Linked DNA regions of Drosophila melanogaster. The gene in region 1 interacts genetically with each later gene. Each region holds a gene or a part of one and is shown on either strand. Other genes may lie near its edges. The genes, in order: nopo, lok and Uev1A.

What was found.
Region 2: of nopo (region 1) and lok, changing one suppresses a phenotype caused by changing the other (phenotypic suppression), as found in Drosophila melanogaster (one study listed by BioGRID).
Region 3: of nopo (region 1) and Uev1A, changing one suppresses a phenotype caused by changing the other (phenotypic suppression), as found in Drosophila melanogaster (one study listed by BioGRID).

The regions. Positions count from the first base shown.
Region 1 is NT_033778.4:18,178,509-18,182,338, forward strand, and holds the start of nopo (no poles), read left to right. Parts: upstream 1-2,108; 5' UTR 2,109-2,213; coding exon 2,214-2,329; intron 2,330-2,388; coding exon 2,389-2,604; intron 2,605-2,662; coding exon 2,663-3,016; intron 3,017-3,076; coding exon 3,077-3,134; intron 3,135-3,189; coding exon 3,190-3,309; intron 3,310-3,365; coding exon 3,366-3,569; intron 3,570-3,631; coding exon 3,632-3,830. Other genes in the region: CG5726 (uncharacterized protein), read right to left, coding at 1-25, 963-1,324.
Region 2 is NT_033779.5:20,059,877-20,063,476, forward strand, and holds the start of lok (loki), read left to right. Parts: upstream 1-1,545; 5' UTR 1,546-1,844; exon of another isoform or gene 1,845-1,905; 5' UTR 1,906-2,000; coding exon 2,001-2,187; intron 2,188-2,271; coding exon 2,272-2,429; intron 2,430-2,668; coding exon 2,669-2,777; intron 2,778-2,857; coding exon 2,858-3,295; coding exon of another isoform or gene 3,296-3,309; exon of another isoform or gene 3,310-3,442; intron 3,443-3,501; coding exon 3,502-3,600. Other genes in the region: barr (barren), read right to left, coding at 1-476, 536-847. UniProt on the Drosophila melanogaster protein: May have a role in germline establishment.
Region 3 is NT_037436.4:5,364,323-5,368,152, reverse strand, and holds the start of Uev1A (Ubiquitin-conjugating enzyme variant 1A), read left to right. Parts: upstream 1-1,927; 5' UTR 1,928-1,996; coding exon 1,997-2,024; intron 2,025-2,591; exon of another isoform or gene 2,592-2,799; intron 2,800-3,067; coding exon 3,068-3,210; intron 3,211-3,830. Other genes in the region: Pfdn4 (prefoldin 4), read left to right, coding at 209-253, 379-750; membrin, read right to left, coding at 835-1,348, 1,418-1,554.

The DNA.
Region 1 (3,830 bases):
GTCGTTCAGGTACTCCATTGACTCACTGAAAATTGCAAATACAATTAGTTTATTTACTTTTCATTTATTAGTATGTTATAATAATCAAGTCTACTACTACTTCATAATGTTAAAGTTTGCACTACAACTGTGTTTAACACCCCCACTGATATAACGCATAGCAGCATTGTTTGATAAGCCCAAGCTGCGAACTATTTGTTCAGCAATTAACTCGAGCATGAGCCTGAGAGAATCGGAGGGAAAAATGTTCACTTTGAAATGATTCGATGGCGCCGATGTCTCTCTGCCCGTCTTTATTTGTATGAAAAGTTGTAAATTTTCAAGACACGCTGACGTTCGAGCAACCTGGTCGCAAACAACGAACTCGTGCACGAACACATATACACAAATACAGTGCTTTTCAGATTTATAAATCGATTTTTAGACATTTAATAAAATTGAAATGTATATGTAGAAGGTCGCAAAAACTTTTTCGAACCTAAAAATAATGAAGTAAGAAGAAAAGTTTACAAAGTTGCACTTTAAGAACCCAAGGGTTCTTGAACGCGTAAAAACAAATTAACGTTTGAACTTGATTAGTAATTCGGTTTCTGCATTTCAAGCATTTCATTATTGGAATAACTTATAGAATGCTGTAACCTATGGGCGAACGCCACAAGCTCCCAAATTTAACGAATTACTCATGCTACTTGTAATGGAATGTCATAAATATTACAATAAGGATCGGTCTTCGCCAGGCAGATATGTACTGCATGCATTAAGTCTTGTTATCACATGGCTGGCTTTGATGGGCTTGGGAGCTCGCCTTGCCCATATGCTATCGCACCGCACTGTACCTACGCCGGGTATTTACATACATCCATATGTATATGCGAAAAGAGGTGGCAAATAAACACACTACTTATGATATGATTAATCATCAATGAGCGAACCAACCAAACGGTAGAGATCGGCACACATACCAAAGCATAGACTCGTCGCGCACTATGTTGCAGAAGTCCGTTTCGATGGTCTTGATCTTGGAGTTCAGCACAATGCCATCGTCCTGCAGATCAAGGTTCCTCATCAGGGCGATGATGTGGTCGTAGGCATAGCCACCTGTTTGATTTTGATAGGCGGCGGGGCCAGTGTTCAGGATGGTACAAACATCCCGGAGGCGCGCTCCCGTTCCCTCACCACCGCCCCCGCTACCGACACCACTGTGCGAACTGTGACCACTGTCCACCGCACTGTTGTTGTAGCTGTTGTTGCCGTAGGAGGTGGTGTTGCTGCTGCCACCGCCGCCACTGTTGCTGCTGCTGACCATGTTGTTGGCCATTTCCATTTCTCGCCGCGATCACTGCCGTTTGTTGTTGTTATCGCACGGTTGTTTGTCTGTCCCTTCCACACACACTTCAGTGTCTGTTATATTGGTACGCGCGTGTGTGTGAGTCGTCGGTCCACCAAATAAGAATCAGCGTTGACAAAGGTGTCGAAATGCGCACGCCAAATGAAACACCTTTTCGCTCAGCTTCCGCTTTGGGTGCAGGTGCAGTTAGCTCACTGGGACCCACGGTCGATTGAAACGCAAATAACGAACGAAATTAAATGCACAAATTTATAACTATTCCTATTTATTATTGCTATTTGACGACTTTTAAAAGAGGTGGAAAAACATCGATGTGTTGTGTTCTTTAAAACATCGATGTTTCTCCACCTCTAGATAGCATTGTCGCGATATCGAAAGCACACGGTGTGCTTTCGTAAATAGCGCCACAGTGCTCCCGCTGTTATCGATAAGACCACCATGGGGCTAAAGTACGGAGCATAAGTAGCTGGATTTAAGATGGATTGGCAGAATAAAATATGAAATTTATATCCACAGTATATCTTAAGAAGTAGGGTTTAAAAAGTATCCACACATACATATCTTTCTAAAATTTAGGATGAATTTTAGTTTCAGTGGCTGAGTAAGCGTATTTGTAAACATTATTTGTTGTTTCGACTTAAGCCAAGTTAGTTAGCAATTAGTTTGTCGTGGAAATATCTATCAGCTAACAGTTATTGTCTACAATCGATTCTTGACAAATACTGGTGTGGTGAATTCCGCTCATTGGAGCATCGTAAAATCGCCATCAGTCAGCTGTGTTTCGTTGGGCGCGCAAACTGTTCGGCGTGCGTTTATTTGTTGTTCTTTTGTAATAACTATTTTTATGTAGTTATTTGTGCCAAAAATGTTGAACTTAAACTGCGTGATATGCGCCGAATTGTTTGGCCAGGCCGACGAGGTTTTTGCCACAGTTTGTGGTCATATGTTCCACCACAACTGTCTAAATCAATGGCTCGATCGGTAAACAACGCATAAGGATATTTCTGATTCCCGACAATAAAATCAAATATCTTTCGCAGATCAAAGACCTGTCCTCAGTGCCGGAATAAGTGCACTACCCGCAACATATTTAGGGTCTATTTCAATCTGGCCAACTTGGATGTGAGCCACATCGATGTTGGTTCACTGCAGGAGCAGCTGGACAATGCGATGTTGTCCATGAAAATGGTCGAAAAAGAGCGCAACAAGGATGAACAGCAGATTCGGGATCTGAAGGAAACACAAAAGAAGTGCCTGTATGCTTTTGTATACACATTGCCTTAAGTACCAGACTGATGCATTTCTCATTTGCAGCAAAACCATAGCCGGTTTGGAGCAGAAGGTGCAAAAGAAGGATTTTCTCATCAGCAGCTATGTCGAGCAAATTGGCGTCCTCAAGAGTGATGCCCATGTCGTTGATGGGTTGCGCAAGGAAAACAAAACATTGAAATCACAGATCCAGAGTATGGAAGGCATATCGGCTATTCTGGCGGCTGGCTCGGCGGATGCCGACCGCTTGCTCAAGAACGAGGCTGATCCACATGTCCTAGCCAACTGGGTGTCCACTCTCAAGAGGGAGTTGCGACAATGCGAGAGCAAAAAGACGGAGCTCAGGAATGTAGTGAAGGTGGTGCAGAATGATCTGCGAAAGGAGATCGAACTAAAGCGGTATGCTCACAACATTCCAAACGTGGTTTTTATAATTGATATGTGCTCATTCGATTGCAGCAAGCTGGAAGAGCGTGTTTCACACCTGGAGAGCGACCTTTACCAGGCGCAGGAGAAGGTTTGCTGAGCCTTCTTTAACACAATTTCGATTAAACATACTATTATCTTTTCAGCTACAAGCTTTTGAGAACAAGACCGCTTACTTGGACTCACCAAATGCCTCTTGTGGTCTGAACAGCAACATTTTGGCCCTTAAAAGGGAGGAAAGGCGTACCACTATTTCCCCTACAGTTGTGAGTAGACACGAATAAACGAAAATATAAGCTACTAATATTTTGCTGCCCTACAGAAGGAGAATATTAAGCGCATCGAAGAATCCACCTCCCCATATCTCAACATTAAATCCAGCAGCGTCGGGTTGGCGCATCTTCTTAATACTAAGGGTAACATTGGGCTGGCCAAGTCTAAAATATCGCCCATCAAGGGAGTCGGTGGCGGTGTGTCTATGACCAGCGGAACCATACGGAAAACCAGCAGTGATCTCAGTGAAAAGGTAAACGCAATAATTTTGCCGAATTCCACTTAACCATTTAAAAATTCCGTATATTCCCCCAGTATTCAATCTTCAAGAAGCCAAGACTGCTGCTGGGAAGTTCAAGTAGTTCTGCGTTGACGGCCACGACGGGCTCAAATTTTGTCTACAATGGAATGGGCGGTTCTGAGAAGGTTGACCCCTTTGCGCAGCGCGCCGAGGAAGAGGGTCTTTCCACAATCAGATCCTCGACCGCCCTTTCCCGGAATGTCAACCAGCGTC
Region 2 (3,600 bases), on another chromosome or scaffold:
GCATTGAGTGTAGTGTGGTCCTGGACCTCCTCGGTGGACTCTTCGCTGTTCCAAAAATTGTAGGTGGTACGCAAGCGCAATTCAGAGTCGAAACTAGGAAGAATGTTGTGCATCAGACGATTGGAAGCATTTATAGAGCCCACAGTGGAGTTCAGCTTGCCAAACACAGGATCCTGCAAGGGAGCCGTATCCAGCCGGCTGTTCAGCGTTTCTCTGTTTTTGGTCACGGTGGATATGGGTTTCTTTTGCCGTTTGGGCTTCGGTGCTGCTTCTTTTGCTGCCTGTTGCGCTGAGTCCTGACCCTCGCCAGTAGCCTGTTCACCTTGGGGGCCATCATCATCCTCGGCAGCATTTATTTGCTTATCCGTAAGAGTTCGTGCACTCAAGCCAGCTGAAATGCGCATGGCGTCCAAGTAGATGGAGTCCACACGCAGGCCGTAAACCTTGGAAGAGGCTTCTAAAGAGGAACCAGCCATCTAGGGTATAACATCATGAAATTATTACATTTACATAAACTGAATGAGGCAAAACCCACCTTGAAGTTGCTCATGCGCTTGTGATGGTGATCCAGCAAATTGGCCAACGAATCGATGAGCATCAGGTTCCAGGCGTTGTCCTTGCTCACCTTGTTGCCATTGTAGAGCTCCAAGCAATTTTTGATGGTCTCATTGTCCTCGATGGACTCCAGAGTGCTCGACCGGTGATGCTGCTGAAGGAGCGTGCGACGTCGGGCTTCCCGCCTTTCCGCCTCGTCGTCGTTAAAGGGGGTTAGCATGCGGGACACCCCCTCCTGGTAACTGCCTACTGCGGACCGCCTGAGCGGAGTTTCTAAGCGGGGCAGAGTCATCCTTTCAAGGAAGTGGATAAATCAGAGATGAAGTCAGAGAACAGCACAAGGAATTTTGGTTGCCGTAGGCTGATGGTTTTGGAGAGTGTTAATAAGCACACTCACTTTTAATAATAGCTGTGATCCCAATTCGACAGTTTTGAATTTTTTGTTTTTTGATGATTTGTTGATTGTATTTTGTCTATTTCTGTTTTTGCGCTGGTATTGGTAATAGTTTACAGTTTCTTTCAAACGACGCCGCAATTTAGGGCTGCATTTCAGTGTTGGTTAAAACTAAAGGTGTGCCAAGCTAGCTAGATAATATGGACAGGAAAATCGCTAAAGAATTAGCTATAAAGTATTGCGGAATATAATTAACTAGTATAAACATGATACATAATTTTATCATATGAGAAAAATGAAATAAACAAACTTAATTTACACCTTAAAGCTTCGAAATCGAATAAAAACACGATAGCTTACAATGGAATTTCTTTAAGTTCAGGGCTGCACAGGTCCTGCCAGTGCTGAATGGATTTCAACAATGGATGGCCGTTAAATTTCAAATACATGTACCATATTAAAGAAACTACGATCTGTAAAGGAATTAATCTGTTTCAATACTTTTAGTTTTTTATATAATTTTCAGTCCGGTAGTTAATTAGTATTTTTTCTTTTGACAATAAAGTCTTAACCTAAGCAATATTTAATTTGTAAAAACCCTTAATTTTTCCTTGGGACTCTTGCCAACACTGGCGCTGATAATCACCCCATCCCTGGAAGGCGGCAACTTTTACACACACTGCCGCAGAAATTGTAGTCCCTCGCGCAGTTCACATCGAACCAATGTCGTGATTTTTGTTAGTTTTCGTTGTTTTCGTCTGATAAACTCTAAATAACTATCAGCCAGCGCTGTGCGAAAAGCTCGATGTAATCGAATTGGGCAGAAGAAACGCTCAGAGATTCAAACCCATAGCTTCTATAGATCTATAGCTTTTCCGAAGATCGGACTCCTCGTGTATGTGTGCATTTCTGCCTGTGGTAGTGCTGGAGTAACTGGACATTTCGAATTTACGCAGTTCCAGGCAAACCTAACGGGTTTTCCAGTTCGACTTGCGGAATAGCAGGAATACGAGATTACGGGGCTACGGAGTTTCGGAGTTTTGGAATCACTATGGCACGCGACACACAAGGAACGCAGGGAACCCAGAGTCAGGCCTCCAATATCTGGACGCAGGTGGAGAGCCAGCCGATGGAGAAGATAGTCTGGGGTCGATTGTACGGCAAGAACATTAAGATCAAATCGCTGGGTACGAGTTCAAAATACCGAATCATTTATACGCATTCGTCCTTTTCTGTTGGTAACCACATTTCCTCCTGTTTTGTGTCCCCATTGCGTGTGCTCCTCATGTATTAATGACGATCCCATGCTGAACTGTTTGCAGATCTCAACAACGACGAGTTCACCGCAGGACGAGGGGAGGCCAACGACTTGATCCTCACGCTCAACGATTTGCCCGAGAAAATCCTGACGCGCATTTCCAAAGTGCATTTTATCATAAAGCGGGCAAACTGCGAACTTACCAATCCAGTTTATATTCAGGTAGGTGGAAGTTCCAAACCCAAAAGCTCTGAAGGAAGCCTTGAAAAAAAAGATAGCAAATTCAGAACCCACAAGAGCAGAATTCAAATTAAGTTTTATTTATGTTTTGTTGAGATTATCAAAAAAGGTAACTTCAATATTGAATATTTCCCACAATTAATTTACAAAAAGAAGTTACTATTCCGTATAATTCCGTATATTATTAAAATGTAGTAACCTTGTTTCCGCCCATTTCGCAGGATCTCTCACGCAACGGGACGTTTGTGAATAACGAGAAAATTGGCACAAACAGGATGCGAATCCTAAAGAATGACGACGTAATTTCCCTGTCCCACCCAACGTACAAAGGTAAGCGATCGACAAGCAGGTATAGCTATCGACAAGGACTCGCAAGTAATTTGATGTTTTGCACCTGCCCTCCCTTGTAGCCTTTGTATTCAAGGATCTCAGCCCGAATGAGTCGATCGGGCTTCCCGAGGAGATTAACAAGACGTATTATGTAAATCGCAAGCTGGGATCTGGAGCGTACGGACTGGTGCGTTTGGTCTATGACACCCGCACCTGCCAGCAGTTTGCGATGAAAATCGTTAAGAAGAATATGCTCTCTGGGGCGCGACCCAGTACCAATTTCAGTGATCCCGACCGGGTGCTGAACGAAGCCAAGATTATGAAGAATCTTTCACATCCGTGCGTGGTTCGCATGCACGACATCGTGGACAAGCCGGATTCTGTGTATATGGTGCTGGAGTTTATGCGCGGCGGCGACCTGCTTAACCGGATCATCAGCAACAAACTACTTAGCGAGGACATCTCGAAGCTTTACTTTTACCAAATGTGCCATGCCGTCAAGTACCTACACGATCGGGGTAAAACAAATTAGTTTTATTTGGGTTCGAATGTGTTGCTGATTAAGCAAGCCGTTCATTTCTGTTATGCAAATAAGTAAGTCTTCGGAATGGTCATTGAAAACGCCCTTAATTGCAAATCATTCCTGCGCCTTTACGAATTTGCTAGTACGACTACTGCGAACACATCAATCGAATTATTCAACTAACTAGTTTCTACCTTTCAGGCATCACCCATCGTGACCTTAAGCCTGACAATGTTTTGCTGGAGACCAATGACGAGGAGACCCTACTGAAGGTCTCCGATTTCGGGCTGAGTAAGTTTG
Region 3 (3,830 bases), on another chromosome or scaffold:
AATATAAGTGCTGAAGATATAACAATAAATTGCTAAAGCGGAATCACTTCTGTAAAATAGCCTAACGCCTCGTTCTCTCTGTTAACTGCTCTCCGTTTGTCAACACTAAAATGTTAAACAAATAAAATTTTTTGCGAAGCACCGAAAACAGCAACTGTTTGTAAAATATCATAAATTATTTATTAAATTAATTAAAACCAACGGGAAAATGGCAGCAAAAGTAGCGAGCGGCACGAACAAAGTGTTCCAGAACGTGAGTATGGGTGAATCATCAAAGGACAGCTGACTAAGATGAAAAGTAACCTCACTTTGTCATGGTTTTTTCTGTGCATCTGCTCAATTGAAATTTATGATATATATTTTAAATCGCATTTTCAGCACGATGACGTGCACATCTCCTTCGAGGATCAGCAGCGGATCAACCGCTTTGCGAAGCACAACGCCCGCATGGATGACTTCAAAGCGGAGCTGGAAACGAAGCGCAATGAGCTGAAGAGCTTGGAGGAGGCGCTGGAGGAGATTGAGCTGTTCGACGAGGACGAGGACATACCGTTCCTGGTTGGCGAGGTGTTCCTCTCGCACAAGCTGGAGAAAACACAGGACATGCTGAAGGAGACCAAGGAGCAGGTGCTCAAGGAGATCGCCGGCGTGGAGGCCAAGGCGAAGGTTATCAAGGCGGAAATGGACGAGCTGAAGGCTCATCTGTACCAGCGGTTCGGCAGCAATATCTCACTGGAGGCCGAGGATTAATCCACAATTGATCAATTGTTAATTTAACATTTTACAAAATAGAGTACATTTAATTTAAACTCAACTAAACGCGATGTCTTCAGATTAGAGCACTAGGAAATAGATGATCAGGGCGATGATAAGCAAGGTGACCACCACTCCTCCGATGAATATCCGACGATCCTCGACCAGCCGGCGTTCAATAAGTTTCATCGTGTGATTGGACAGACCCAGTGTGCTGCCTATCGCCTGGATTCTCTTGTGCGCTCCGCCCAGCGTCATTCTCTGCGAGATCAGGCTCTCGAGAATGCCGCTGCCCGAGGCAATCATGTCGTCCACACCCCGATGGGCGTTACCCAGCTGCGTATGATGCTGCAGTTCGTAGTCCAATTGCAGGCGCGTTTCCTCCGGCTGCGCGCTGTTTGCCGTGAATCTGTGATTCAGCAGCTGTTCCCTCTCGGAGATCTCCTGCATCCGTCGCTGTCTTCGTTCCCGCGCCGTCTGCAGTGATGTCTGCAGGTGTCTCAGGTCATATTTCAGCTGATCCACACGAAGTTTGGAGCTTTGTCGCTGCGAAGGTGGCACCTTATACAACAGCACATCCAACCGATCGCAGTTTCTAAACACAAAAGATTTATTTAATAATACAAACTCCTCTTGGGATAATATATATCATTGTAGAACTCACGCGTTCGCCTGGGTAATCTTCAATTGAATGCCGTTTTCCACGTCAAGCGATTCCTGGGCACTGAGCTGACTCAGTCGCTGGAAATCGCGCTCGATGTCCTTTACCACATTGTTGGTTTGGTGGTACAAGCTCTCCATGTCGTTACACCTATTGATTCCGCATTAATTTATGGGCCCGAGAATATTCGCAAATTAATATTTAATCGGTTGCAATTGGTTTGTTTTTAAAAAAGCTGACGCGTTAACATTGGACAGAGTGTCATGTTAGTTAACAGCACTGATAGCAGAGCAGCTGGCTGCCGTTTTTGGTATGACCATATATTATGACAAACTTATCAGCTAATGCAACTATTAAATTTCCTTTTTATTTTCAGAGAATATGCTATATATTGTTAAATAATGATTTTTAATTAGTGACCAAATATTGCACTTGACGGCGCTGTTAAGTGTTACCACTGTTAACGGTGTAAAAATCAGAGTTGTTAAGCAAGCCAAGCAAAACCTAAACCGCACTGGTCACATCGCACTGGAAACGCGTTAGCACACTTTTACGGTATTTTAGCACTTAGCATTAACCACAATGGCGAATACATCAAGTACCGGCGTTGGTAAGAAATAAAATTGATAAATTAGCAATTTGGCAGCTTAAAAATGCGATCCCCGCACGCCCGGAGTTGTTGGCCATCCGTTTTCTGCATTTCCCGCTGACCGGCGGCGATTTTTCCGCCGCTACGGACCCGACAAGCGGACCGCAATGTGATTGTGTGTGTGGTGCAAAACGGGCAAAAAGAAGACGAAAGCAAGGGCGAAAGACGAAAGCCGATAAAAGCGAAATGGGCGAATGGAAATTTATTTTCGCCAGCGGACCACGCTGCTCTTGCAATTTTCCTTGGCCGCGTTTGGCGTTGGAAAAACTCCGTTGCAATTGGGCTTCGTGACTTGACATTTTCCGAAATATCATCCCCGCTCCTTCCTCACTATGTGGCTCTCGCTCGCTCGCTCGCGCACGCTCTTCTTCTTGCCTTCATACTTAAAGTTTTTTCTTTATTTTCCTTATTTTTTGCACACTTGCGTTTTTGCAAGCTGCCTTGTCTTTTCTAATTAAATTAGCTGCCATTTACATTTGCCTGGATTGTTTTTGCAAATGCAGAAATTATGCTTTCGCCCCGCCCCCGCCGACACACCCTCCCCCCGCGCCCATCGTGCTTAATATCTGCGCTTCGCATTTTTTTTTTTTGACTTGTGTTCTCTGCACGAAAATGCGTACAAAGTCACACGGCCGAAAACAAAAACAACACGAGAAGCAGAGCGCAAAACAACAACAACACGTACCCATATGACCCCACACTGAGAGGAAAAGTCGCCGAAATATCACCGAAAATGGTTTATACCATAGAAAATGTGTAGAACAGTCCTTACTAGTTTGTTTCTAAATAGATAAAACTGTCGTTTATAATTATATATATGTATCTTATCTGTACGAGCCCGTGATTATAATTATTTAGAAAGCTAAGTACTTTCTTGCCCCGCCAACCAGAAAATTAAAAACAAGCTGACATTTAACTTAATGACTATATTTAAAGATTTAAGTTTTTCAGTGAAAATGCATTATGTCATCGAGTTCTCACCTCTTTGCCGTTTCACATTGCAGTGGTGCCACGGAATTTCCGCTTACTGGAGGAGCTGGATCAGGGCCAGAAGGGCGTGGGCGATGGCACCATATCGTGGGGCCTGGAGAACGACGACGACATGACGCTCACCTACTGGATCGGCATGATCATCGGTCCGCCTAGAGTAAGTTTCCATATCGATTGGACTTTCCTCGCTACGTCACCAGATAAGCCCGGTTTATTAGGCAATTCTGTAGGATTATTGACATCTTATCGCTTAGATTGCGCAGACCATTCAGTTTGGATAGCACCTTGTATCTTTGAAGGCAGTTTATCTCTTCAGTGCGATGGAATTTGATAATATTTGCATTTCATTAGCACCGCTGATGCAACTCATTGTGAGTGTGGGTTTCAAAAGTCATTGGCTTCATTAGCTTCTTATGTGGTAAATATGAATATAAAATGTACCTCTGCTAGATTTTAATCTTATATGAAAACTACAAGCTGCAATCTGGGATTATTGCTAGAAAATATAGGTATAGAAACGCTCGTGCTAATTTATTCTTATTTTATTCACAAGAAAATATTCCACTTTACATGCATTTATTGGGGAAAACAAGGCTCTAGCCTTGAATTACTAGCAAGGAAAGCGGCGGAAAACTAAATTTGCATTTAATTTTTGTATAGTCTAGAAGTGTTGCGCGCGCCGCCGCATGAATCATTGAGGAGTTTGGGTGGCAGGGTCTTCTAACAGAGCCCCAACTTGGTTTAGTTGCATTGGCAACTAAAGTGGAGAAGCGGTGG